Oryctolagus cuniculus: one gene and its partners. The protein of the gene in region 1 interacts with the protein of each later gene in a pairwise test. Links are inferred from orthologs where the notes say so. Each region holds a gene or a part of one and is shown in the gene's direction. Other genes may lie near its edges.

Region 1 (2,384 bases):
TGCTGAAGAACAGAAACATAGCTTAAAGGATACTTGTAAAGAATACCTTGCTTTTGATATACCAATGATGCCTCTAAAATGTTTGAAGTAGTGTTATTCTCTTAAACAGATAAATCATATTAGCCAGGCTGTAGGGGACATACTTTTTATCTTAGATATCAGATTACCAGCATTTGAATCATTGAGGCTTCATTGTACATTTATATGCATGTTGTGTATTGCTCGGTATTTATTATTCCCGTGTTCTTCATGTCTGTGTGTTCTGCTTTCCACATTAAACTGGAAAATCCTTAAGGGGCAGAGATTTGTCTTCTTTGTCTTCTGGACCCCAAGTATTCTCAAATTAGGATTGGCACGCAGTTGTTAATGTTCATTAACCAGTGCTGGCTAGGGAATACCAAACCACAACAGGAAAGAGTGGTTTGTTTTGTGCTGCCAGTCAGAATTCTCTGTCCTGAGATCCTCAGGGAGACACAGTGTGTGGTTGGTACTTGGGGCACAGAGTGAAGAGCAGACACAATCCCTGTCCCTTGCAGGGAGCTCCCAGTGAGCCTGAGGAGCAAAGACAAACACCAAGAAACCATTTGGAAGTGATTCAAATTATCAAGCTCCACAATGACCAAAAGTTGAAAATGGGGATCCAGTTGGGAGAGAAGCTCGGATGCCCCTGGAACTCTTCGCCCTGCACTGGGACCCTCAGTTTTCTCTGTGCCTTTTTAGAGATCTAGAGCTTTGGGGAGGAGGGGAAACCTTTTGCCTTCAGGACCCTTGAATACCAGGACCAATATTGCTTTCTTTTCTCCTTCCCTCTAGGATGTCAAAAGTACCCTGGAAAAGTAAGTGATTCTTAAATCTCTTTGAGTGAGTTAGGGCTTGTCTTAGATGCTGGGAGTTCAGTAAGGAGGTGGGGGAATAATGAGGGGAAAGTCATACAGGCTGGGTAGGATATGGGAGAAGGTCCAAGAAACCAGTTAGGGAACAGATCATCAGGACTAATAATCCCTTTTCCCCTTTGAGCATCAGGACTTCCTCAGTAAGAAGAATGATAACATAGAAACAGGTTCTCCTTGCGTCTATTGGTAAATTACGTCCAAGCAAGATGGCAGGAGGAACGGGTTGGTGGAGCCAATGGGCTTACCCATGGGCATGAAATATAAGACACACCCCTTCCCCCCACCCACCCACCACTGACCTTGTCAACATAAGAATCTGTCCCGGGAACCAGTGGCTCTCTGTGGATTGGCGAAAGGAAGCAGTTGTCTTCAGGGAGGAGGGGAAAGTGGGAAGATGGAGTTTTAGTTTCTCCCTAAAGATGACAACATCTGATAGCCGCCTGGCTTCAGCTTCCCCTAACCTTGCCCTTAATCTCCCCATCCCCTCCTAGATGTGAGAAGGTGAAGACCATGGAAGTGACTTCAGTATCTATAGAGCTGGAAAAGAACTTCAGCAATTTTCCCCGACAGTATTTTGCCCTAAGGAAAATCCTTAAACAGCTAATTGGTGAGTTGTTCCCAAAAGGAAATTAGCAGAGGGAATTGCCAGAGAGAACAAAGTCTTCAGACCCTACTTTATGTGGGCTTCAGTTATCCCGTCTCTCTTCATTCACACACCCATCTTCACCCAACTTTGAATGTCACCCTGAGTCACAGAACTCAAAATGAGAAGAAGCCTTAGGTATCACCTACTCTGAGATCCACACTTTTCTAAATAGAGACTTGGAAAGGTTAAATAGTTTGCCCAGGTTGTTAGATAGGGTGGCCGTCTAAAGCTAGGATGAGCTGAATAGTGAAAGGATGTGTCCTTAATATTCATGCAAGGAAAGTGGTCATTAACCAGGACAGCTCTGGGAAAACACATACACCTCACCCTATTCGTAGACCATAGTGCTGTCTTGCTCTGTATCTTTCTTAACATAACACTTTCCTTCCTGGCCCTCAGACCATGCCTTGCACCTCTCTGTACAGAGCAATAGATGATGATGTCGGAGGATGACAGGGAGAGTGGGAACCTTAGAGTGGTCCCTGCAGGGTCGGGATGAGAAGGGTAGCCTTCATTCTCCTCTCCCTCAGGAGACGCCCTGGGTTAGAGAGGTAACTTTTAAGGGACCAGGCTCTGTAGAGGCAGGCTGGAAAAGTGAGGCAGGGACATTTAGCTATTCCCATCCTCATCTAGCTCCCCACTCTGGCTTCTCCCGCCAGCGGATGTGACCCTGGACCCCGAGACTGCTCATCCTAACCTAGTCCTATCAGAAGACCGTAAGAGCGTCAAGTTCGTGGAGACAAGACTCCGGGATCTCCCCGACACACCACGGCGTTTCACCTTCTACCCTTGTGTCCTGGCTACTGAAGGTTTCACCTCAGGTCGACACTACTGGGAGGTGGAGG
Region 2 (4,048 bases), on another chromosome or scaffold:
AGGACTCGAACTGGCGCCCAGCCCAGCACGCCTCGGCGCCGGCCCCCATGGTGCAGCTGCCTGAGCCAGCACCGGCTCTGTAGGGGCTCTGGTTCCAGTCCTGCTTCTCCCCAATGTGGCTCAAGACAGCCCCCGCCCCCTGCCTGGGGGGCCCGCGTGCGGTTCCTAGAGCCTGGCTTGGGCCTGGTGCAGCCCCTTACAACAAATAATTCTTTAAAAGGGTCCCTTTGACAGTGAAAATTGTGCCCCCTTGTGGCCGGTGCGGTGTGCCTAGCAGGTGTCCCGGCCGCTCCGCTCCCGATCCAGCTCCCTGCTGTGGCCTGGGAGAGCAGCGGACGATGGCCCAGGTCCTGGGGCCCTGCACCTGCGTGGGGGACCCGGATGGAGCTCCTGGCCCCCGGCTTCTGTTGCGACCATTCGGGGAGTGACCCAGCAGGTGGAAGACCTCTCCCATCCCTCCCGGCCTCCCTCCTAAACCTGCCGGGCTCCCCGATGCACACAATTCTGTCTTCCCCACGGTCCGACCCGGCAGCTTGCTCAGGGCGAATTCAACAGAGGCACCCGCCGCTCTCACACGGGCCCGCGGCCGCGCTGTCCCCACCAGGGTCCTCCGTGGCGGGGGTCTTTTATTCCCAGCACCGTTTTGTGGACAGGGAACCCTCGTTCGGGAAGGCGAGTTTGCCTTGACTCCGTCTGCGCCCGCGGGGGGCTCTCCCACCCCAGGGCCCCCCCCTCGACCCCCTGCTGACCCCCAGGCAAAGGTCCTGGGGCTGGGGGCGGCCCCTCGCCCCCTCCCCGCCTATCTCCCTCCAGGGCCTGCGCGCTCAGAGTTTTTTTTGGGGGGTGGGGGCTCCCCTTTGCCACTCGGTCGGTGCACACCCCGCTCCTCTCTGCCTTGCCGGCCCAAGCGGCCCCCAAGGCCCCATGGGGCTCGCGGGGCGCCGACTGTGGGCAAAGTGGGGCTGGGTCCCGGGGGACCTTGAATGGGGGCTTTATGACGTAAGCGCCCGGGAGCCAGGGGCGCCCCTGACCGCTTCTCCGCGCGGCCCAGCCGGCCCCACGGTCAGCTCCCCGGGGCCCAGGCCGGGGACTCCCAGCGCGGCGGCCCGCGGGGAAGCGCGCTCGTCGCCTTGGCAACGGAGGCCGGAAGAACCACCGAGACGCGGCTTCAGAATACAGAGCGGCCGCCTCCGAGGTACCCGGGTCGATTGTCACGTGGGCGGCCCGCGAAGGCGGGACTTCCGGCTCCGCGCTATTTTCTTTCCGGTTGTTAGCTTCTGTCAGCCCCTCCCTGCCTGGGCCGTGCGCCCCCCCCCCCGCGCCCGCCGCGGCCCCCCGCCGCCGGGCCCCCCGCCAAGATGAAGAAATTCTTCCAGGAGATCAAGGCAGACATCAAGTTCAAGAGCGCGGGGCCCGGGCAGAAACTCACAGACTCCGCGGGGTAGGGGACGGTGAACGGGGCAGGGGGCTGGGAACCGGGGAGCGGGGTGGGCGGCCTCTGGGGACCGGGGAGGGGGCGGCAGGTGCGGCCCGGGCTGGGAGGGGGCGGCCGGGCGCCGAGGGGCGCCCCTGGGGGCGGGGCCGATGCGGCTGACACTCCGGTGGGCGGGGCCGATGGGGCCGGGGAGACAGCTCGGGGGCGCACCCCCCGAGGGGCGGGGGAGGGGCGGGGCTTGGGAGGCGGGGGCGGGGCGTGGGAGGCGGGGACGACCGCGGGGCGGGGCGGGGGCGGGGCGTGGGGGCGGGGACGACCGCGGGGGCGGGGCGTGGGATGCTTGGACGACCACGGGGGTGGGGCGTGGGAGGCGGGGACGACCACGGGGGCGGGGCGTGGGAGGCGGGGGCGGGGGCGGGGAGTGCAGGGCGTGGGTTTCTGGAGAGTCTGGGGGCGGGTTGGGGACGACCGCGGGGGCGGGGCAGGGGCAGGGCGTGGGGGCGGGGACGACCGCGGGGGCGGGGCGTGGGAGGCGGGGCGTGGGGGCGGGGACGACCGCGGGGGTGGGGCGGGGACGACCGCGGGGGCGGGGTGGGGGCGGGGCGTGGGAGGCGGGGACGACCGCGGGGGCGGGGCGTGGGAGGTGGGGATGACCCAGGGGCGGGGCGTGGGGGCGGAGCAGGGCGTGGGGGCGGGGACGACCGCGGGGGCGGGGCGTGGGGGCGGGGATGACCGCGGGGGCGGGGCGTTTGAGGCGGGGGCGGGGCGTGCAGGGTGTGGGTTTCTGGAGAGTCTGGGGGCGGGTTGGGCGGTGGGGTAGTGGGGGCCACGTCCGCGTTTCCACGAGAGGAGGGGCCCGGGGGATGGGGAGGGCTGGCGGGAGGGGCTAGGGTCCGCCTAGGACAGATAGAGGCGGCGTACAGGGGAAGTAAGGGGGTGGGGGGGCCTTGAGCTGGCGTGGACCAGGGGCGTCTCCCTGCTGCCTCCAAGACCCCCGGCCTCATCCCACCCCGTGGGACTTTCTGGGCGGGAGACACAGGACGTGTGGGGGCTCTCCAGTGGGGACCGCGTGAGGAACAGGCAGGCGGTGTAGACAGGAGCAGCGGGGAGCCCAGTGTAGACGGGGGAGGCAGGCACCCCAAGTGGGCGGGCCTTCAAGGCCACGGGAAGGGCTGGCCAGGGCGTCGGGGAACTGAGTCTCTGGGGGAAGATGGAGCAGCCACAGGGCCAGGGGGCTTCCTCGGGGGTCCTCTTGGGCCAGCAGCCAGCCGGGGGGAGGCCTCGTCCAGGCCGCTGCCCACGGGCGGGGAGGGGTCGCCCAGGGGTCTGCCGGGGCCCACGGTGGAGAAGGAAGGCGAGCCCCCCAGATCCCAGCGGCTCGGAGCCGGGGCTTGGACGGGGGGCTCCCGGCCGGCCTGCTCAGCGCCTGTCCGCGCGGGGCTGTGTCCACGTGCCCCTGCGGCCGCCCCCCGGCCTGCTGGACTGGAAGCCGCCGGGTAGCAGGGGTCGTGGCTGGCATGTGGGCTTCCCAGAGCCGTGAAGGTTTGCAGGGAGATTTTAAGATTTATCTCTCATTTATTTGGAAGAGTCAGGGAGAGAGGGGCCGGTCCCTCTGCTGGCCCACCCCCAACGTGGTCAGCACGGCCAGGCTGGAGCCGGGAGCCTCAGGTGGGCCTCACAGGGGGCCCACGCACGTGGGCCGCTGCCGCTGCTTTCCCAGGCTGCTCTCTGGGGCCGGCGCTGTGGCGCAGCGGGTTAGAGCCCTGGCCTGCAGGGCCACATCCCATACGGGCCTTGGTTCGAGTCCCAGCTGCTCCACTTCCAATCCCGCTCCTTGCTGTGGCCTGGGAAAGCAGTGGATGACGGCCAAGTGCTGGGGCCCCTGCACCTGCGTGGGAGACCCGGATGCGGCTCCTGGCTCCTGGCTTTGGGTTGGCGCGGCTCCAGCCATTAATGGCCTTTTGGGGAGTGAACCAGAGGATGGAAGACCTCTCTCCCCAACTCTTTCAAATAAATAAACATTTTAAATATATTTTTTGCTGATTGGAAAAGCAGAGAGAGGAGGCTCCCACTTGCAGCCATGAGCCGGGGACTCAGCCCATGGGTGCGGGGGGGCCCTGCCTGAGCCGTCACCCCTGCCCCAGGGTGCTGGGACCCGGGCTCGCGGTGTGGGCGTCCCCAGGGTCTCGGGGCCGTGAGGAGGCGGCGACCTGAGCCCAGGGCTGCAGCCGGGGGGGGGGGGGCGGGGGAGGCCGCGGGGAGTGGTGTCCCCGGGGCCGGCAGGGCTGGGTCTGCGTGCCAGGGCAGGGGCGGGGCAGGAGCCTCCCCTCTGATCTCGCGCTGCCTCGGTCACTGCGCAGGGAGAAGGCCCCCAAAGAGAAACCCAGCCAGCTGGCTCTGAGGCCGCCCCGCCAGGGACCCACCGATGAGGCGCAGATGGCGGCCGCCGCCGCCCTGGCGCGGCTGGAGCAGAAGCAGCCCCGGGCCCGGGGCCCCACGTCGCAGGACTCCATCCGGAACCAGGGTGAGCCGCGGCCGTCCTCGGGCCGGGGCCGGGGCCCTGCTCTGGGTAGGGTTTCCCGACCAGCGCCTGCGAGCCTGCAAGGGAGGTGT
Region 3 (4,023 bases), on another chromosome or scaffold:
AGCAGCCCCATGGGAGGCAGGAGGAGAACGTGAATAAAAAGGGTAGTCCAAAGCACTTGGAAAGGGCAGAAAGGAGAGAAGAGCCGCTTCTCCCGGCCCCATCCCAGCGAGTGCCCAGCGCTCTGCTTGTCTGATTACATAAGCGCAGGGAATTCCTTTCAGGGGTCTTCTTAAGAGGAAGCCATAGAAAATAGCAAGACGGCTGGTGCTGTGGCATAGCAAAGTCACCACCTGCAATGTTGGCATCCCATATGGGCACCAGTTTGAGTCCCAGCTGCTCTACTTCCGATCCAGCTCCCTGCTGATGATCTGGGAAGGCTGTAGAGGATGGCTCACGTGCTTGGGTCCCTGGATCCATGTGGGAGATGCTGAAGAAGATCCTGGCTCCTGGCTTCAACCTGGCCCAGCACTGGCCATTGCAGCCATTTGGGGAATAAACCTGTAAGTGGAATCTCTCTGTGTGTTGCTCCCTTTCTCTCTCTCTCTCTCTAACTGTGCTTTCCAAATAAATAAATAAATAAATCTTAGAAAGAAAAGGAAAGAATGGGATGAAACAAAATACGAGACAAGAACACAGATGAGTGAATGTCATAAATCTTGAAAAATGCATTTTCTCTTGTCATCTCCATTTTATGGTGTTTGAAGATTTCCTGAAGTTCTCTCTACCCAAGTTTGCTCTTTGTTGGCAGTATTTGATCTAATGAATGCTTCCAGGGACTCTACTGCAGACACAACTCGCTCTCAACTGAGAATTGAAATAAGCAGGAAGACAATTATCTAGTCACTAATGGCAGCTAAAGATAGTTTGTTTTGCTACCAGAGGGCTCTCAGCAGTATACTCTTGTCGAATAGATTGAGTTGTTAAGATAACCATGATAATTTGTTATAAATAGCAATAATGTGAAGGTTTTTTGGTAGCTGCTGACAAAAATGAGGATGTAGAGAGTTCGTTTCAACCACATTAAAATTAGTTCCCAACTCATCTCCTTGGAGCTATTTAAAATCCAGCCCAAGAAGCAAATATTTGGCTTCAATTTCTAATATGTTAGAGGAATACATTCATTTTAAAAAGAGGCCAGATCAGATTGCCTCATCTGTCTCAGCCAGACTAGAACATTATTAAGTCTTGAGTTCAGTTCACATCTAAATAAAGGTCATTATTTAGGGAGGTTTCTTGTGCTTTCTGTGACTGCATCAGAACGGAATGTCAGTGTCCTGAGAGGTGCCAATGGAATTCCCTGACAGTTCTGTCCATTTGGCTCTGCTGGAGCAGAACGGTGTCCTGACAGGATGGGCTAGAGTTGCCAGTGCCATGAGACAGGTGCCGCTGGAGAGGGCTATGGCAAGTCTTCAGAAAAGTAAGTCCCTCCGCCAGACTGGGAACCTGAGGTGTGCTGTGTTGCTAGTTCTTTGAACTACATGGTTCTTGTGTTCCTCTTTTCAGTGACCATGCCCTAAAATCCACAGCTGTGTTTTCTTCTGTTCTCTGCTGCATAGCTGAGGAGTATATTGCTATCAGGTTGTTACACTATATATGCCCACTTTCCTGTACGTATATTCCAATTTTTAAAAAAAGGATCATTCCCCGTGAACTCTTTTGAAACACGCTTCTTTTACAACTGACAGAAAATGAAAACTTTTCCTTGTACTTACAGTCTTCTACCACTCCCTCATGTGCTCTATTATGGAATTGTAAAAATGTAAATTCACAAAAAGAAGCAACTTTTCCCCCCCACTTAAGTTAGGGCATTACTATATACCTACCGAAAATATTACTTGCCTCACATAGCCGTACACTCAAAACCTTCCACTCAAGGCTTACTTGTATTCAGGAGGAAATTTGTGTTCCAGGAAGCTGTCACCCTGATAATAGCTATTGACTCAAATTGAGGGTCATGTCCTTTGGCACTTAGTCCTGTTCTGGCAGGCGTGGTCAAATCCTTGATGAAATGGGTCTTTTCCAAGTCCAGCCCTCTGATCTCTGCTCCTAAAGAAATAAACTCTGCTCAGACCATGTTTTTGAAGAGAAAGTGTAAGGAAAAATTAATTGCTGCTTTACCTAGATAAAGAGTTTTTTTTTTTTTATTTTTTAAAGCAAGTCATGTGATTCCTTTTGTTTATGGACACGCCAAAGAAAGTTTATTTGAGGAAATCACTATTGAACACTGTGTGCCTTTCAGATGTCAGTAGGCTATCTGAGAGTACCTTAAAACATCTGTGGAAAAATGGAATTAAAAGATGTTTGTTTTAGTGCAAAAATATTTTGAAATCCATGCATAGTTTTTTTTTTATTTTATTTTATTTTTTTTAAGATTTATTTATTTGAAAGGCAGAGTTAGAAGGAGAGTCAGAGAGAGAGCCATCTTCCATCCTCTGCTTCGTTCCCCAAATGGCCACAACAGCCATGCTGGGCCAGGCTAAAGCCAGAAGACTGGAACTCGATCCGGGTCTCCCATGTTGGTACAGGGGCCCAAGTACTTGGGCCATCGTCCACTGCTTTCCCAGGTGCATTAGCAGGGAGCTGGATTGGGAGTGGAGAAGCCAGGACTTGAATAGGTGCCCATATGGGATGCTGGCATTTCAGGCAGGGCTTAACCCACTGTACCACAGTGCTAGGCCCCTGAAATTTTTTCATAATACATATTTTCCATGAACTTATTTCTCCTACCTGGTCTCAACTATTTTCTAACCTTACACTGAGGATTTTTTGGTCCCTATGAGATGGGAAAACTAGATATTTTGATTATTTAAATATTACTTTAAAAATTCTGGTTTCAGAATTTCAAACTTGCAAGTTCCTCATTTTGACCAGTCTTCTTACTTGCCCCATTCCTTCAGCCCAGCCACCAGTTCCTTTGCCTGCGCTTTGGCCTATCCATTCCTGAGGGACACAGACTCTATTGCTCACCCCCATCTGGCTTTACCTGCCTTCCTTCCTACCTCACCCACTCCCCAAGGCGTCCGTATGAAAGGGTAGCTCCTGTAGCAGTTAGCAAATTCTTGTATTCCCTTAACCTCCTGTGAAGTCTACCTTTTCAATTCCAGACCTAATTTTGAGAAGCATAGACCATTCTACTTTTCTACTCTGATATACCATAGTTGTGCTATTAGTCAGGAAACTGTAACTATTGAAATTTCACTCCCATTTGACGGTCCTCTTTGTCGTCTGACATTGAATTCCTAGTCATTTCCTGAAGGCACTCTCCTGGTCTTTACAACCTGATCTTGAGAAACAGCAAATCTGGGGCTTCCGTTTCCTTTTCTGTGAAATGAGGAAGATGGCCTGTCTCAGTACTCCTCCAAATTTAATAGGCATAGAATTATCTGGGAATCTCACTTCAAATGCTACTTCCTTTTTTATTTTTTTAAGATTTATTTATTTATTTATTTATTTGAAAAGCAGAGTGACAGGGAGACAGAGAAAGAGACATATTCCATCTGCAGGTTCACTTCCCAAAGGCCCACAACAGCCAAGTCAAGCCAGGCTGAAGCCAGGTGTCTGGAACTGCATTCTGGAGTCCCACAGGGTTGTCAGAGTCCCAGGTCCTTGGGCCATCTTCCACTGCCTCCCCAAGCACACTAGCAGGGAGCTGGATCAGAAGCAGAGCAGCCAATATGGGATGACAGCATCAAAAGAAGTGGCTTAACCTTTTGTGCCACGAGGCTGGGCCCTCCGGTGCCACTTCCGATTCAGGTCTGGCATCCCCCGTGATGCCAGTACCTCAGACCATTATGTGAGTACTAAAGGCCTCCATGAGCTCTAAGATTATTTTAAAAACTAATACTAAAACAACACTCATGATTCCAAGTCCTGAGTCACAACCTTCCCACATTCACTCACAGCAGACTTAACCAGAAACTGAAACACCACCTTTTATTAGGCTCTTCAGCAGTGTTTGCCCTTTCCAATGACTTTCCTATCCTCAATCTTCTCTCCCTTTTTCCTCCCCCTAGGTTACTTGTTCCTCCTGCCTCCATTCTGTCCCTTTTTGCTGAGTTGGGATCTTCTCGCAGTTCATTCCT
Region 4 (4,005 bases), on another chromosome or scaffold:
TGTTTGGATGATTTACTTGTTTGGGCTATGAGAGTACTTCAGAACATTTATAGAAAAAGCGAATTAAAAGATAAGTTTATTTTGGTGCAAAAAATTTTTGAAATCCATGCATTGTTTTCTCCTAATATGTATTTTCTGTAAACTCTTTGAAGACTCCTTTACAAGTGTAGATTGCAATTTTTTTGGCATCAAAATGAACTTATCTTTTAATTCCACTTTCCCACAAACTTACTGAAGTTGCTTTACCTACCATATTATGGTTGCTGACCTTAAATGTATTGTGTTCTAATAAGAAGACGTAGCATCCCTGAGTAAAAGAGAAAAACACTATGGAGAGTCACTGTTTTGGAAGTGAACACATTTTCTACCAGTATACAGAATATGATGGATTAGCTCATAAATATAAGCATATCTTCAGACACTAGAGATCAGATCTTATTATCAATTTATATATATGTTGCCAGCACCCTTCTGACAACTTTGTAGCTCAAGTCTTTGAATTTTCTTAGTTTTGAAATGATACTGTATTCTGATAAATATTGATAGAAATGACTACTGATTTTAGAATTGTAGAAATTAACTGCATACATAGAGGTATAAACCAGCATTTTCAACACTAAAACTTTTTTAAAAATTTAGTAAATTTGGCATGTTTTTTTAAAAAATCTTTTATTAAATTGTTAATGCCTATAATTTTAACTAAAACAAAAAAATTTTAAATTTATAATTTAATTAATACTATAATTTAGTGATATTTTCTTTCCACTTATATTAAAAATGAAAATATAGTATTATGTAAATAGTGGCTGAATGCCCTTTTTAAATTACTTTTTTTGGTATCCTTTTTATTCCATTTATAGAAAATTTTTAAAAAATTTTACTTCTTATATTTTAATTAATCTGAAGAATAGGAATTTTAGACCGCTAATTTACTGTGGCATTATAGAAATAAATATAAATGTAAGTACCTTGCATATGTCTAACATACTGTAGGTGCTTAATAAATATGATGTTAATCTCTTGTACTCTTTTTAATTTTTTTAAAGATTTATTTATTTATTTGAAAGACAGAGTTACACACAGAGAGAGAAGGAGAGGCAGAGAGAGAGAGTGGTCTTCCATCCGCTGGTTCATTCTGCAAGTGGCTGCAATGGCTGGAGCTGTGCCAGTCTGAAGCCAGGAGCCAGGAGCTGCTTTTGGGTCTCCCATGTGGGTGCAGGGGTCCAAGGATTTGGGCCATTCAGAGGTGGAACAGCCGGGACTTGAACTGGGCCCATATGGGATGCTGGCAGTGCAGGTGGTGACTTTACCTGTTACGCCACAGCGCCAGCCCCTCCTTTTAATATTTGAAGTTATTATTATATTGATGCTTACTGAGTACTATTTGAAAATATATACATTTTAATGGAGCTTAAAGCTAAAGGAGAAATTTAAGTGAAAAATCATATTGTACAAATGAGAAGTGGAGGTTTTTAAATTTTTATTTTACTTACATGTAAAATAATGCTATATCTTAATGATGTCAACTTTTACCATTACCAAATCATTTTTGCTTTTCTTAAAGTTACTCTTTATAATAAAAGTAATTTTTGGAATACCAGTCCTTGATGTTAAATTCCTATTTTTTTTTAAAGATTTATTAATTTATTTGAAAGTCAGAGTACAGAAAGAGAAGGAGAGGCAGAGAAAGTCTTCCATCTTCTGGTTCGCTCCCCAATTGGCTGGGATGACTAGAGCTATGCCAATCCAAAGCCAGTAGCCAGGAGTTTCTTCTGGGACTCCCACACAGGTGCAGGGGCTCAAGGACTTGAGCCATATTCTACTGCTTTTTCAGGCTACAGCAGAGACCTGGATTGGAAGTGGAGCAGTCGGTACTTGAACTGGTGCCCACATGGGATGCCGGCACTGCAGGCAGCGGCTTTACCGGCTGTGCCATAGCGCCAGCCCCATACTTCTGCCTTTTAAAAAATATTTCCTTAGATGAATCAATTAGCTTTTTTAAGGCCATTCTATTATTTATAGTATTGCAAATTTGAACACATGATTGTTAAGATCTTTCTAGGCCTCTGAATACTGCTCTGACTTAGTGCTATCTAGAAAGGAAGCCTCCTCCTAGAATAGTGAGTAAAGGCCCATACAGCAGTGTGAGACTAATCATCTGTAGTTGTTTGGAACCGAACATAAAGGTTTGAAGTTGCTGAGTAGGATAAAAACATTTTGTCAGATACTAGCTACTGGCACTCTTCAGCAGTGACGGTGTTTAAAAGATGTCAGGTATCTAAATTACTCTGTTATCCTTGTGTTCTAGAAAATAAAAGACACTCATATGGAAGATTTTTCTAAAGACAAAAAAACAAATTGGAGTTTTGTACCAAGTGGAAGAATTGAAAGTACAAGGACTGGGGAGTCTCCAGTAGATACTGCAGATTTTTCTAAAGAAAAAGATATTAATGAATTTCCACTCCATTCACTTCCTGAGGGTATTGACCAAGAAGTCTTTAAGCAGCTTCCAAGAGATATTCAAGAAGAAATCCTTTCTGGGAAATCTACAGAGAATTTTCAAGGAAAAGAAAGTCTGAGTTGTCCATTGCATGCCTCTAGAGGAGTGTTGTCTTTCTTCTCTACAAAACAAATGCGAGATACTCCCTTGAATACTAGAGATCATTTATCCAGTAGCAAAGAGGTATCCTCTTTGTGTGAACCTGGAACATCAGGCTTAAATAGCAGTAGTTCTTCTTTTCTGTCTAGCCACAAGGATTATTATGTAGATAGTAGACTGAAAGATGAAAGAACAGGTCAAGAATCTAAAGAATCTCAGGGGTTCCACTTTTCAAATACAAACCCTGCTGTATCAGTTTTTCATTCATTTCCAAATTTGCAAAGTGATCAACTATTCACTAAAAGCCACACTGCACATAGCCATAAGCAAACAATAGCAACAGGTTCTCATGATGAAAGACTTACAGAAAATAGAGAGCAAGATTCTGCTGACGAGAAAATTACTTTTCCTTCTGACATTGACCCTCAAATTTTCTATGAACTGCCAGAAGATGTACAAAAAGAACTGTTGGCTGAGTGGAGGAGAACAAAATCAGATCTGCACATTGTACATAAGTAAACATGTTAAGAAGAAAGGTCTGAAAAGCTAGAGATTAGCAGCTTTTTAAGCTGTTCTAATTGAACACTAATAGATATCCAATAATGTGGAAATCCAATGTAAAATGTTTCAGGAAGTAAATTCCAGCACAAAGCATAAAAATATAACAGAAGAAATAATGTAAAATATTCATATTATTTCCATTTTATATTGCTTTTCAATAAAAATAATATCATGGTCAGCTTTTGTGCATTTTCCTTAAATTGAGAGTAAGAGATGTATATGCCTACATACAAAAATTAGACTCCCTGTGTCATTGCTGTGCTCTGGTGAAGAACAGTCTGTTTTCTGTGAAATACAGGAAGTCGACCTGTTTGGAAACAGCCAAATAAAAAATCTGCAAACTAACCTATTAAATTGTAGCTAATTTTGACTGAAATATTATAATACCATTTAATTTAATAAGTTGACTTGTAAAATATCAAATCAGTATATATTCCATTAATCCTTCTTTGTATACTTGGAATCTGTCACAGTACATGGAAGACAGAGGGCATTCAGTAAATATTGAATGAATGGATGATGTGGCCAGTACCTGTGTAGGCAGTTGGAGGTGAAAAGAAATGTATTTATTGTACAGAATAGTGGTAGAAGGAACTCTCCATAAAAGTAGATTGGAGGATAGATGGAATAGAAATGAGCATACGAGATAATGGAAGAAGTCCATTTCCTTCTTGCCAGTTTTTAGGGCTTAGAGGCAATGGAGGGTAATGCACACATTTACTAAATTATATTGGCTTTCTTCCATTGCTACTGACTTCAGCCTTTGCCTACTAGATTAAAAATTGGGTATAAAATCGAGGCCATTTTATAATTTGCAAAACAGAGAGGGAATATTTTCTAGAATA
Region 5 (3,999 bases), on another chromosome or scaffold:
TTCCCTGAACAGGTCCAAAGCAGAGGAGACAGGGGATCTGGGAAAAAGATAAAAATAATGCCGCACAAAAGTCACGATGCAAAAGTAATCAAGAACTTCACCAAGACACAGAGGGAAAGTCTAGAGGCGGATGCGACACCACCTCCAGTTGCCCCGACTGGCCGCTCGGCTCGCTCCGACTACAGCCACTCCCAAGATGCCGCGCGCCGCGAGCGGACGCGCCCAGCAGTCACCTCCCCACGTCAATCTCCACAAACAATGTGGTCTCCCGGAGCCGGCAGCCCGAGCCACCTGAACTCCCGAGTCTGAGCCCCAGCTCCCCTCCCGCCCGCGCCGCAGCTCTCCGGGCCTGCGTCTCCTCGTCAGTGACATGTAATGACGGTCTACCGTTGGCTGTGAGGAGACGTCGAGAGTAAAAGCGCTGTATGGAAGATGCGCGCGACTCTCCAACTTGTTACGCTTCTTAAGCTCGATGCTCACTAAGCAGCCCTGAGACTGATCTCTCAAAGTCATCCTGCCCCTCACTCCCTTCCCGCTCCGCGCCTGTGCTGAGGCCGCTCCCTCCTGTCGGCCCCCAAGCGGAAGGGGCCCGGCGCTGTCTGCCGTACCTGCAGCCACCTGGTCAGCGGGGCCCTCCTGCTGACCCATGACGAAGTCTTGCACGAGTCCCCACAGGGGGCCCGTAGGCGCCGCCGCCTCCTGGGGAGCGGCGGCGGCGGCCATGACGCTAACGAGCGACCGTGGGAGGGGAAGGAGGCGGAGGCGCGAGACAGGCTTGTCTGCGCACGCGCCCCCTGAGCCAATCGCTGGGTGGATGCCGCGGGGGCGGGGCGCTCCCTGGATCACGTGGCCGCCAGCTCTTGATCGGGCAGTTCCAGGGAGGGGAGGGTAGAGGAGGGGAGGGAAGGCCCCTCCCCGAGGGGTGGGGCCTGGGGCCGGGGCGGTGGCGCGGAGAGCGAAGGCGGCTCGCTGGGCACGCAGTCGGGGGCCATTGAGGGCGAATAATTCCCGGCCCGGCTCCCCGGGAGACGGGCTGCGGGGAGGACACCTGGTTGGGTGGGGCCGAGGGGCGGTACGCACCCTGGGGGAAGCCAATGAGAAAATCAGGCCCGGCCCAAGGGGGCGGTGCCGTCGGTCACATGCGCACCTGGGGCGGGTGGCGGCGGCGGCGCGGGCACCGCGAGCCGGCGGAAGGGAGTGGGGCCGGGCTGGGGCGGGGTTAGGCAGGTGAGTGACAGGCTGCGGGGGGCCGGCCCCAGCTGGGAGCCCCAAGCGAGCCGGGAGTAGCTGCGGCGGTGCCCGCCCCCTCTCTCCGCCCCTTCAGCGGGGCTGGTCTCCGGCCGGGCACCGTCGCGGGCCCCCCTGGCCCGGCCACCTGGGACTGAGCAGGGGAGTCGGCCACCTCCCTCCCTCCCTCCCCGGGTCCGCAAAGTTTGTGGCGAGGCCGGCGCCGGGGCAGAGCGCGCCCCCCCGGGGGGAGATCCGGAGCGTCAGATGCCGGGCGGCAGGAGCCGTTGACCCGGGACGCCGCCGTCCGGGGCAGGGGCGCGGAGCAGCCGACCACCCCGCCGCCTCCGGTGCATGGGGACCGGCTGAGGAGCCAGCATGGGCAACTGCGTGGGGAGACAGCGCGGGGAGAGGCCAGCCGCCCCAGGACACCCCCGCAAGCGAGCAGGTAACCACGGGGAACGAGCAGGGCCACGGGCACCTCGCCGGTCGGCCCCTGCTCGCCGGGGCCCTGGGCTCCCGGCGCGACCTCCCACGGCCCCTGGCGCCTGGGCTCTCCCAGCGCAGCTCCGAGCCTGACGAGGCCGGGGACGCCGACCGGGCTGCGAGACCAACTCGCTCCAACTGGGAAGCTCCGGGTGGCCGGTGGGGGCGGGGGCAGGAAATGTTCGCAGACCGCAGCGGGGCCGCCGCGGGGAGGAGGGCCGGGGGCGAGGGCGCCGGCGGCCTGGCAGCCCGGGCCGGGGTCGGACGCCTGCCCGTCGGGGCGCGGCGCGAACTGCCGGGCGGCCCCACGACTCGGCACGGTCGGTCGCTCCTTCCCGAGACTGACTGTGTCATTCTCGGGCTGCGGATCGCGTCTGCCGGAATCCGACTTGCAAAAGCAGCGCAGGACTCTGGGAAAGAAATCTTTATTTTTTTTCCCCCCGCAGGGCTTTTTAGAGCCTCCTGGCCGTCTGGGAGTTGTGGCGAGGTGGGGTGCGGAGCGAGAGGCGCCCTCGGGTTTGCGGGGCTCCGCGCCAGCGCTGGGAGGGGGCCGCGCCCTCTGGGGATCCGCGGGACCGGCCGCGCCGTCTCACTCTCGCCGTGCGCCCCTTCAGTCCTGGCGCTCGGCCCCTCGGAGAGGGCCGGCGGTCATTCTGGGTCTCACTTCCTTCTCCGAGGGTGTTGCAAGGACCTTCTGAGAATGATAAAATCATAGACTGTAGTGCTCGGAGGAGCGCCGAAACTTGTCTGGGTTCCAGACAGATCCGCCTCCTCCGCTCTGAGTAAAAGGCTGGGTCCCGAAAGGCTGGCGGGTTTGTCCAAAGTCACACAGCGAGTGAGCCGTGCGAGTGGGGCTGGCGGCCAGCGTGCTCCTCCTGCCCGTTGCCACATAGCCCTTGGTGGAAGGGGAGCCGGACGCAGAGTTGTGAATGAAGTGGGAACTTCAGTTTCCCACCTGCTCCGACGCGGAAGCCGGGAAGGAGGATGGGAAACCGTCGGGGAGGCAGGGAAGGATGTCTGTGCGGTGCACAGGATGGCTTGTGGCGGAAGAGACGTGTTTTCATAGGATGGAGGGGTGAGACTTAACTCCGAAACCCCGGTGTCGGAGGGCAGCCCGGGCCATTCTTCTGACTGAGGAAAGTGGATGGGCAACTCAAGGGCTTCCTGCCTTCCTTCCGTTCTTTCATTCATCCCACAAATATTTGTTATTTTTGCAGTGAGCCCTGGTAACTGATTTTGTAGCATTTTCCTCTGTTGACACCTGCCTTTACTTGAAACTCTGCCCCCTTGCCTTCTTGGTTTTCCTGTCTGGTCACTCCTGCCCACTGGCGCTGCCACCTCAGAGGAGCGGGACTCCTGCGGTGCAGTCTGAACACTTTTTCTCTTACTATGCTCCTTCCCATGGCTTTGTCCACTGGGAAGACTTTTTTTTTTTTTTTTTTTTTAAGATCTATTTTATTTATTTGAAAGTCAGAGTTACAGAGAGGGACGGAGGGAGGGAGAGAGAGACAGAGTGCCCTTCCATCCACTGGTTCACTCCCCAAATGGCCTCCACGACCCAGGCTAGGGCAGGCGGAGGCCAGGAGCCAGGAGTTTCATTCAGGTCTCCCATGTGGGTGCCCAAGCACTTGGGCCATCTTCTGCTGCTTTCCCAGGTGCATTAACAAGGAGCTGGATCAGAAGAGGAACAGCTGGGACTCGAACCAGTGCCCATATGGGATGTTGGAGCGGCAGGCGGCAGCTTAACTCATTATGCCACAAAAGTCGGCCTCGACTGGGAAGACTCTTACACTTGATCTTCAGCTATTACCTCTCCCCTGTACCCCGGACCCACATCTCTAAAGGCCCCCAGATGCTGATGTTGACCTCAGATCTAATGCAAGTCTGCATCTCTCCCTGCCAGCCACTTGCGTTCTTTCCTTACATTCTTCAGCTGCCTAAGCTGTGCCTCTCAGGACTGTCTAGATGACATCTTGGCTTACTTGCTTTCTGTCTACCTGCCAGTCACTGAGGCCTGCAGGTCTTGCGAAGCTGCTCCTTCCCACTCGACTTCGCACCCCTGTCACCGGCTCAGGTCCAACTCTTCTTCTAGGCTGAAGTGCGGTCTCCACCAAAGGCAAGTAAGTTTGTCTTCATTCATCCATTACCCACAGCTGGTAGTCCCCTCCCAGAAGGTGTTTGTGAAATCAGCCACATGGGAGACATAGGAGAAGCTCCTGGCTTCAGATTGGCCCAGTTTTGACCGTTGCGGCCATCTGGGGAGTGAACCAGCAGATAGAAGACATC
Region 6 (4,212 bases), on another chromosome or scaffold:
TTTTTTAAAGAATTATACTGTAAGGTTACAGGCACCGCAGGTGTGGATGGTGACTCCGTTATGGGTTCTTAACTTGAAACTCCCTCAGCACTCCTGACCTAACTCATAGAGTTAGCCCTTGTCGATTTCCTCTCCTCAGCATCTAGTATAGTAACAACCCTGAAGGAGCCGCTCAACAATTAGGTGTTAATTGTTGATTGATTTCACCCCACCATCCACTAATTTCACCCTAAGACTCAAGTGTAATTAAATGGCAAGTCACTTCTCTAAATTCATATTTTCTTCAGTTTCTTAGGTCCCAGGGTAGTTTTAGATTTTTAGATGAGACTACAGTAGTCTCTAAAGTGCTATCATTCTCCAAAAATGCTTGGCATCACTTCAACTCCGGATCTGAACACCGCGGGGGGACAGGTAAGTGGCAGCAGCACCAGACTGAACACCAGGTCTGCTGTCACCTTGGTAGTCTTCATTTTTGTCACAGTTCCCGGCACAACCATAATCTTCAAATACATAGATGATGTCTTGAACAAGAAATAAGTGGCATTTAGAATCAAGTACCTTCTAAAATACAGAAAGCTGAGTCAGTTTCTCCAATAATCGGGGACTAGGTTGATCCGAAATGACAAGAAAGCATCTTCCTAGGCAGTCATATCTTGATTATAGATAGGATTGTATTTTACAAATAAATTATTAAATATATTGTTTTTATTTCGACCCAAGGGGCCTGCGTTGCAGCTAGTTGAGAACTTGTCTTGAGTTTAAGGAATCATGCAGATTATTTCAGCAGCAAGGACTGTATTGCTCTGAATTTCAGTAAATCAACATTTCACTATACACAGGCAACTAAAACTCAAAATCATTTTAAAAATGATCAATGCGGACCGGAATCAAAACGCATCTAGTTCCAAAGAGGTATAGACCGGTACCTCCGGAAGCACCGCTTTACATTCCCTCAGTGCAAGGAAAATTCCTGTTCCTTAGCTTTTTTTTTTTTTTCATCATTTGAAAGAAGTTTATAATGATCCTCACACCTGTTAGGTTAGAATCGTCAGCACGATTTTTTACCAGAGAGGATCAGTGGAGATGGAGTACGGAGTTACTACCACAGATATTAGTCTCGACGACACTAAGATTTTTTTCCTTGCTCTGCAAAATGCACCGGCCAACCGGATTTTCTGGGACGTGCTGGGTGGCCGACATTTTCCCTAGTCGGAATCTCTCCAAAGATCTGAATGCATGTCCAACGGTCGGGCTTACTGCTGGGCGGCTCTTGACCGCGGGACATGGCAGAAGAACCCTGGCCCTGCGGAGCAGAGCGAAGACGCCGGGACCCTGCAGGAGCCGAGCCCCGGCAAGGAGCCGCTAGTCCGCCCGCCGACCGCGGCCCGGCCACCGAGCGCGCAGCGCGCCGCAGGCTTCCGGCTCCCGGCCGCCCGCCGCCCGGCTCGGCCTCTGCGTCAGAGCCGCGGAAACCCCGTAGGAGCAGGCGGGCGGGGCGGGCGGGGAGCGCGGCGTGCGGCCGCCGCTGCTGCAATATTCTTCCGCCGCCACGCAAAGAGCCCTAGTTCGCCTCCAGGTTTTGGGATTTCCAGCAACCCTGTAATATCGAGAAATTACGACATGTGAATTTTTCCACTGACTTCCTTAGGAATCTTTCCTGAGAGAACGGCCCCAGGATTCTAATTTTGGGACTAACCAAAGCGCGGCGACGATATTCCTCCGCGGAAAACGGGTTCCGGCCGCGAGCCTATAAAAAACGGGTGGCACGGCGCTGCTGTCTTTTCAGTCGGGCGCTGAGTGGCTGTTCGGACATGTCTGGTGGCTCTGCGGACTACAACAGGTATGGCGGCCTCTCGGCGGTGGTGTTCTGTGGTGAAGGTCAGAGGGCGCCCAGGGAGGCTGTGGTGAGTGCTGTGAGGGCAGGAAGCAACAGGCTCACGGGTGTTTTCGTGGGCTACAAATACCCCCCCGAGTCCTTCGAGAAGCTTCCATGATGGGTAGGACTGCAGGGGGACGCGAGTTACGGAATTGGAGTGGTCTCCCCTTTCAAAGACGTCTAGAAATTTCGGCCTTCACTCCTCGCCGTGCGGAACACGGTACATATCTTAAATAAAAGCCGTGGCCCAATCCGCATTCGGAACGGGGTGGTAGGGGCCGACGCTTTCTTTGCGGTCAACGGCGCGAGTTGGTCTCGGGCTTCAGCCTGAGGGCAGTGGGGGCAGCGGGGTCCACTCCGCCGTGCCCGGAAGGAGACGGGACTGGACCGGCACCGGGGCTGGGGGCGAACCGTTGGCATTGCCCTCGCCGGGCCGCCCCGGCCGCGTCAATCACCCCGGCTTGCGCAGTGTCAGGGGCGGAGCTCAGCGCGTGGAGCTCTCGCGAGATCTTCGTCGCCAAAACGGGAGAGCCCGGGGGGAAGGGGCTGGTGTTGGCGGGGCCTGCGTTGGGGCTCTCCCGCAGGAGACATGCCGGGACGTTGCGTGGCCCGCACACGGGCTGCGTTTGCTCTCTGGGCAGCGTAGGGGCAGGCCCCGAGGCGAGGCGGGTGGCGGCGGCTTGGGAGCTGTCTTAACTGCTGTTGTGTACTTGCCCGCAGAGAACATGGCGGCCCAGAGGGAATGGACCCCGATGGTGTCATCGAGGTGAGAAATGGGTGTGGATTTTGAAGCCTTGCAAAGGTGTGTGCGCGCGCATCTCATTTATCCCATTTAACTTCTTTTTAAACTTAACAGAGCAACTGGAATGAGATTGTTGATAACTTTGATGATATGAATTTAAAGGAGTCTCTTCTTCGGGGCATCTATGCTTACGGTTTTGAGAAGCCTTCAGCTATTCAGCAAAGAGCTATTATTCCTTGCATTAAAGGTAAAAGAAAACTCTCTAGCATTTAAAAACAGAAAGTGAATTCACTGTTAATGATAGACCTGGACCATAAAAGGGAGCGGAACCTGTGGGGGACTAGCACCTGTTTGTATTCCTTAAAGTGAAATGATGGCAATCATCTTTCGGGACTGACCTGAAATGACAGAATACTCATTGCTGATCACTTGATTATTGGGGCATAATTTATGTTCCAAATGGAATACATGGTGTGAAGTAGAAGTGACAATTTGATGTGGGATCGGTAAATATGTATCCTACTTTTTTTAGGGTATGATGTGATTGCTCAAGCTCAGTCAGGTACTGGCAAGACAGCCACATTTGCTATTTCCATCCTGCAACAGTTGGAGATTGAGTTCAAGGAGACCCAAGCACTAGTATTGGCCCCCACCAGAGAACTGGCTCAACAGGTATTGATAGTGTAGTTCAAAAAAACTGCTTGCGTGTTGCATAGGTTTCAGGTTTCACAACTGTGAAGAATTTAAAATTTAGGGTAAATTAGTCCTGTCAGAGCCCTCTTAATTGTCCATGCATGCAGGGAGTTTTTGTTGGAGGTTACATAGGAACTGGGTGTCTAGGTACTGTGTGTAGGGTTGTCTCCCCAGACTGAGGCTGTGAAGCTTTCTGTTCAGGATACCCCATTCCTATATCCATTTTCCTTACGTTCAAGTGCAGTTGTGCAACATGAAAACTGCAGTGACATGTTACCATTTGACTGTCTCAGTAGTTTGTGATGCATCTGTTGCATGCTATGTTTTCAAAGCTTACTGTTAAATTGGCTTTGAAGTAAACCTTCCTAATAAAGCCACAGGCTTTATTATGGTCAAGATCATAAAAAGGTACAGTTCCCTGTGGGGAAAATGACCAACATTTGTCCTAGCTGTAATTAACAGAATTTAATCAATATTTACACCTTTCCTACATAATGAAGAATAAGATAGGATGTGCTTCCTTTTTTTTTTTTTTTTAGTTGCCTAGCAGATAATCTGGGGCAAGAGGATCAGTTTGAGGCATAAGAAAGACAGGGAATTTTATTCTTGAAGCAGTTAGTCTGCATTTTAAGCTTGGAAGTAGTTTGCTGTGCATGCATAAAAGCTATTGGCAGACCAGATAACTTGCCATTATGCTTTGGCAGTTAGTCATAGAAACTGCAGCCCTACAGGATAATAATTACCGATTTTGGCTTTTAGATCCAAAAGGTAATTCTGGCACTTGGAGACTATATGGGAGCAACTTGTCATGCCTGCATTGGTGGAACAAACGTTAGGAATGAAATGCAAAAATTGCAGGCAGAAGCACCACATATCGTTGTTGGTACACCAGGGAGAGTAT
Region 7 (4,271 bases), on another chromosome or scaffold:
AATATTGATTGAGTGCCTACTAGCGCCAGCCACCTTAGCAGGCTCTAGGCCCCAACACCATCCCTGTAAGGAGCTTCTGTTGGCCAGTGTTCACCTTAATGCGTAGACTTCCACAAGCCTGGCCCAGTGGTTCATCGTCAGCAGCAGCAGCAGAGGCAGGGAGTTTGTTAGGCACCTCCTTAGGCCCAGCCTACATTCTTTTTTTTTTTTTTTTGACAGGCAGAGTGGACAGTGAGAGAGAGAGACAGAGAGAAAGGTCTTCCTTTGCCGTTGGTTCACCCTCCAATGGCCGCCGCGGCCGGCGCGCTGCGGCCGGCGCACCGCGCTGATCCGGTGGCAGGAGCCAGGAGCCAGGTGCTTTTCCTGGTCTCCCATGGGGTGCAGGGCCCAAGTACTTGGGCCATCCTCCACTGCACTCCCTGGCCACAGCAGAGGGCTGGCCTAGAAGAGGGGCAACCGGGACAGAATCCGGCGTCCCGACCGGGACTAGAACCCGGTGTGCCGGCGCCGCAAGGTGGAGGATTAGCCTAGTGAGCCGCGGCGTCGGCCCCAGCCTACATTCTAAAGACGAGGCTCACCAATACGATTAAAAAAAAAAAAGAAGAAAAGAAAAAAACTTCCAGGGGTTTTGATGAACACTCAAGTTTGAAAACCAAGGTTTTAGTTCCACAGATTAGCGGTCAGTATCTGGTTTCTAAACCCACTTCAGATCTTTCCAGGGGAAACCTATCTCAAATAGAAGCAATGGGCTCCAACAATAGCCGCCCTGAGTTTAATGACGGGTAGTCCCTCAGATGATCATTGTTAAGAGTGGCAGTCATGCTCTGCCCTCCTCTCCCCCCCACAAAGAAAAAAACCATAAAAAAAAAAAAAAAACCAGCAAAAAAACCCAAGCCACCGCGGTGGCTTTTCTGGGGCTGTCCTAACCGACCCTGGGCCGACCGGGGCCGCGCTTTCACACAGACTCGGCGGGCACACGCAGCCCGGATCCGGCTGAGTCAGGGCGACGCTCAGGCCGCGTGGGGCCGCAGGAAGCCCTCAGCCGGGCTCGGGCCTCCATGCAGAGGCCAGGGGCCGGCAGCCCCGCCAGTACCACACTGGGGGTCGTCCAAGCGAGGCGCGGGTGGGGGGAAGCAGGGGCGCAGCGGCGAATCCGAGAGGCCGAGGCAGGGATGGCCAGCGCGGAAGCCGCACCCGCCCGGCCCCAGACGCCGGCAGGGCGGAGTCACGCGTCCGCAGCTCCGGCTGAGACGCGCGGCGCGGCGCGGGCTCGTGGCTGAGGCGTATGGGGCTACAACGGGAGCGGCTGCGCCGCCCGGCCGGGTCGGTGTCGTGCGCATGCGCGGGTCCGGCGCCATTTTGGTGGCCGGGCGCGGAGGTGATTCCACAGAGCAGAGCCCGGCGGCCGGGGTGGCAGCGGCGGTGTTCGTGTGCTGGGATCTGAATCTCCGAGGGAGGAGGCGGTGGAGGAAGAGGTGGCGGCGGTGGCGGTGGTCGTAGCGGTGGCGGAGGAGGCGGGTACGAATCAGCTGCGGGCGGAGACATGGCCAACATCGCGGTGCAGCGAATCAAGCGGGAGTTCAAGGAGGTGCTGAAGAGCGAGGAGGTCAGAAATGAACTCCCGGACATTCCCCCACCAAGGCCCAGGGCGGGCGGGCCCTCCCAGCGGCGACCCCGATATCCCCGGTGGCCCTCCCCGCGGCCGCCCTTTTGCCTGTGGGGAAGCGGCCGTCTCCCCCTCCTCCTCCCGCCGCCTTCCCCTCCCTTCTAGGGCCCTGGGGTGGACGGCTCGCGGGCGGGTGGTCTGGGGAGGAGTACGGTTTGGGGGGGGGCGGATGAAGAGGGGTGCACTCCGCGGCGGGGTACGAGCTCTCTCTCCCGAGCCTCGAGGCGGTGGCAGCAGCTGGAAGTGTGGCTGTGGGGTGTGGGAAGGCAGCAAGGCCGGGCCTGAGAAAACCCGGGAAGTGGGTTGGGGGAAGGGGAAAGGTGGTAACTGGATCCGGAGAGCAGCGCTGCTCCAAGGCCCACACTCTGAAGGGTCTTGGGGTTGTTGCCTGTTAGGCCTTTGCTGTCCGTTCCGAAGGCGAGGAGCGATGAGAGCCCTGAGGTGCTGGGGGAAGGAGAAGGACATGCAGAGGTATTCCCTCCTAGTTAGGCGTGGGGAGACAGGAAAGGCATAATGGGATACTAGCTTGTTTGGGGGATGGGATAAAGGAATTTTCACCTGAGATAGGGAATTAATTCCAAATGAGATCTTTATCTCCTTTCCACGTGCCCCCCAGTTCCTAGGCCTCTTTATTGACATCTAGTGCTTTTTAACGGGGCAGAGGCTAGGTAGTGTATTAAAGATATTTACATATTTTTAGCTAAGGAAAAAATAGTGAATGAGTAGCTTATTTGAGAACATTATTTACAGGTTACATATCAGACTGTCTCAAGACAATGCCTCTGTGACTCGTGTTGGGCCATGAAACTCCATTATGATGTCCCTCATGGTTAAAACTTGTGTCTTTTAAAAATAGACCCATTAAAAACAAAGGATTTCACCCTGTTAATACATTGTTGTCTCTTAATTGAGTAGGTTTAACTCAATATACATCTCTTGACATAGCATATTCTTTATTTTTAAATTGTCTTTTTCTGCCGTTGAGTCCTGCAGAATTTAGATGCCTTACTTCTGACCACATTTACTTATGTAAGGTATTTAAAATGTCCTAGTAATTCTGACTCGAAACTCTGCAAGTGTCAGTACAGTTTGTCATAACTACTGAAAATTACTATTTTCGAGATCCACACCCATGTCATTATTGAATATATCATTGCTATTTGTGTCTTTTCTAATTGTTGCTTTGATAATGTCAATAAAGATTTGTGACACTCAGCCTTCCCAGGATGTGATGAGTAATTGACATAGTCTAATAGCACTTAAGCTTTATTTGTGTCATTGAATCTACTGTGATTTCATCTTTCCATACATCAGATGTGGAGAAAATCATTATAAAATTCAAAAATGACAAATACTAGCAGATCTATTGACTATAGTAGTACGTAAGTCATGATCAGCTCTACAGAGCATGTGTATGAACTCTGACCTTTGTGTTCGTTCATATGCCAAAACTCTGAATGGAAGGATGACTTTGTATTTTTTGTGGTACAATGCAGAATAGAGTCATTAATGTCTGGAGAGTGTGCAGTGAAACAGTGGTACTAACTTTCTATTTAGTAATGATAAGAAAGATGTATTCCAGGGTAGTTGATGTATATATTCCTAATGAAGAATTGCGGCTAATATTGTTGCTAACATCCTAAAACATTTCCTTTATAATAAGGGTGTACAAGCCTGAAACTTAATGAACTAATAGTTGTGGTGTTTTTTTTTTTTTTTTGTATTATTTAAAAGTGGTAAGTTACTGCTTCAGGTAATTCACGTGATCTTTTTGCTTTATGTGAGGTGACTTTATCATTGTATTCTTAAGGACTTAAGTTGAGGATTACCAGAAATACTTGTATTACCCTAGAAGTGCATATTGTTAAAATAATCTTTTTTTTTTTTTTTAAATGTAAGGGCTACTAGAGCCTTACTTTTAAAAGTGTCATAGTATTTTAGAGAAAGCAAGCAGGAAATACAAACAAAATTATTTTTAAAGTACCTTTATAAATCTGGAAGGAAACTGCTTCGGAGAAAGTGAGTTGCGAAGAACCTTTAGTTAAGGTCAAGCAGTTTAATCTTGAAATAAATATAACTAATAAACAGCTTTATTTTCATCAATATTTTAGTGGGCCCAGTTATATAAGTAGATTATGTTGATTATTTTCAGCTTATTGAAGGACTGGTGTTCTTTGTAAGGGTATAAATGCAGTATTTTGAATGGCCGATCAGTAATAAGTTATTTCGTCATGTCACGTTATGTGAATCTCTGGTTTACTGAAGTTTATTTCCTGTTCTTGTGTTTACTAAAACTAGTGGTTGATTTAAAGACCCCCCCTTTTTTGGGGAGCCCTTTTGTGTCTTTGTGAAGATAGCTAATGTCACAAGAGGTTATACACAACTATTAGAATATGTATTTGTGCAGGTGAAAGCATCATGAGAAATTGGTAAAAGTAGCTTCTTTTGTGTAGGGGGGTTGGGTGTATAGGGTATGAAGAGATCTGTTCAGACTAAATAAAATACATAAAGGCACCATCTAAGCCTGTTTTCCTTAGGACAGTGTTAGAAATCCATCTTGTAGCTGTTGGAAACTATTTTCTAAAATTGAGTTTTAGGTAATAAT

The links.
Region 2: the proteins of TRIM39 (region 1) and UBXN6 interact in binary tests that used the Homo sapiens proteins (3 or more experiments, as listed by UniProt). The link is inferred for Oryctolagus cuniculus from reciprocal best matches to the Homo sapiens genes TRIM39 and UBXN6.
Region 3: the proteins of TRIM39 (region 1) and PSMA6 interact in binary tests that used the Homo sapiens proteins (3 or more experiments, as listed by UniProt). The two-hybrid records come from large-scale screens. The link is inferred for Oryctolagus cuniculus from reciprocal best matches to the Homo sapiens genes TRIM39 and PSMA6.
Region 4: the proteins of TRIM39 (region 1) and POLI interact in binary tests that used the Homo sapiens proteins (3 or more experiments, as listed by UniProt). The two-hybrid records come from large-scale screens. The link is inferred for Oryctolagus cuniculus from reciprocal best matches to the Homo sapiens genes TRIM39 and POLI.
Region 5: the proteins of TRIM39 (region 1) and UBTD1 interact in binary tests that used the Homo sapiens proteins (3 or more experiments, as listed by UniProt). The two-hybrid records come from large-scale screens. The link is inferred for Oryctolagus cuniculus from reciprocal best matches to the Homo sapiens genes TRIM39 and UBTD1.
Region 6: the proteins of TRIM39 (region 1) and EIF4A2 interact in binary tests that used the Homo sapiens proteins (3 or more experiments, as listed by UniProt). The two-hybrid records come from large-scale screens. The link is inferred for Oryctolagus cuniculus from reciprocal best matches to the Homo sapiens genes TRIM39 and EIF4A2.
Region 7: the proteins of TRIM39 (region 1) and UBE2K interact in binary tests that used the Homo sapiens proteins (3 or more experiments, as listed by UniProt). The link is inferred for Oryctolagus cuniculus from reciprocal best matches to the Homo sapiens genes TRIM39 and UBE2K.

The regions. Positions count from the first base shown.
Region 1 is NC_091436.1:139,953,702-139,956,085, reverse strand, and holds part of TRIM39 (E3 ubiquitin-protein ligase TRIM39), read left to right. Parts: intron 1-813; coding exon 814-836; intron 837-1,384; coding exon 1,385-1,500; intron 1,501-2,172; coding exon of another isoform or gene 2,173-2,198; coding exon 2,199-2,384.
Region 2 is NC_091447.1:59,807,306-59,811,353, reverse strand, and holds the start of UBXN6 (UBX domain-containing protein 6), read left to right. Parts: upstream 1-1,248; 5' UTR 1,249-1,358; coding exon 1,359-1,441; intron 1,442-3,795; coding exon 3,796-3,959; intron 3,960-4,048. UniProt on the Homo sapiens protein: May negatively regulate the ATPase activity of VCP, an ATP-driven segregase that associates with different cofactors to control a wide variety of cellular processes.
Region 3 is NC_091443.1:40,254,564-40,258,586, reverse strand, and holds the start of PSMA6 (proteasome subunit alpha type-6), read left to right. Parts: upstream 1-1,223; 5' UTR 1,224-1,228; coding exon 1,229-1,358; intron 1,359-4,023. UniProt on the Homo sapiens protein: Component of the 20S core proteasome complex involved in the proteolytic degradation of most intracellular proteins. This complex plays numerous essential roles within the cell by associating with different regulatory particles.
Region 4 is NC_091441.1:23,987,528-23,991,532, reverse strand, and holds the end of POLI (DNA polymerase iota), read left to right. Parts: intron 1-1,071; coding exon of another isoform or gene 1,072-1,266; exon of another isoform or gene 1,267-2,308; coding exon 2,309-3,118; 3' UTR 3,119-3,505; downstream 3,506-4,005. UniProt on the Homo sapiens protein: Error-prone DNA polymerase specifically involved in DNA repair. Plays an important role in translesion synthesis, where the normal high-fidelity DNA polymerases cannot proceed and DNA synthesis stalls. Favors Hoogsteen base-pairing in the active site.
Region 5 is NC_091446.1:32,352,465-32,356,463, reverse strand, and holds the start of UBTD1 (ubiquitin domain-containing protein 1), read left to right. Parts: upstream 1-1,199; 5' UTR 1,200-1,605; coding exon 1,606-1,675; intron 1,676-3,368; exon of another isoform or gene 3,369-3,833; intron 3,834-3,999. Other genes in the region: MMS19 nucleotide excision repair protein homolog, read right to left, coding at 609-723. UniProt on the Homo sapiens protein: May be involved in the regulation of cellular senescence through a positive feedback loop with TP53. Is a TP53 downstream target gene that increases the stability of TP53 protein by promoting the ubiquitination and degradation of MDM2.
Region 6 is NC_091435.1:96,444,626-96,448,837, forward strand, and holds the start of EIF4A2 (eukaryotic initiation factor 4A-II), read left to right. Parts: upstream 1-1,412; 5' UTR 1,413-1,811; coding exon 1,812-1,840; exon of another isoform or gene 1,841-1,904; intron 1,905-2,596; coding exon 2,597-2,642; intron 2,643-2,732; coding exon 2,733-2,865; intron 2,866-2,981; exon of another isoform or gene 2,982-3,049; intron 3,050-3,150; coding exon 3,151-3,290; intron 3,291-4,070; coding exon 4,071-4,212. UniProt on the Homo sapiens protein: ATP-dependent RNA helicase which is a subunit of the eIF4F complex involved in cap recognition and is required for mRNA binding to ribosome.
Region 7 is NC_091433.1:33,549,090-33,553,360, forward strand, and holds the start of UBE2K (ubiquitin-conjugating enzyme E2 K), read left to right. Parts: upstream 1-1,471; 5' UTR 1,472-1,543; coding exon 1,544-1,606; intron 1,607-4,271. UniProt on the Homo sapiens protein: Accepts ubiquitin from the E1 complex and catalyzes its covalent attachment to other proteins. In vitro, in the presence or in the absence of BRCA1-BARD1 E3 ubiquitin-protein ligase complex, catalyzes the synthesis of 'Lys-48'-linked polyubiquitin chains.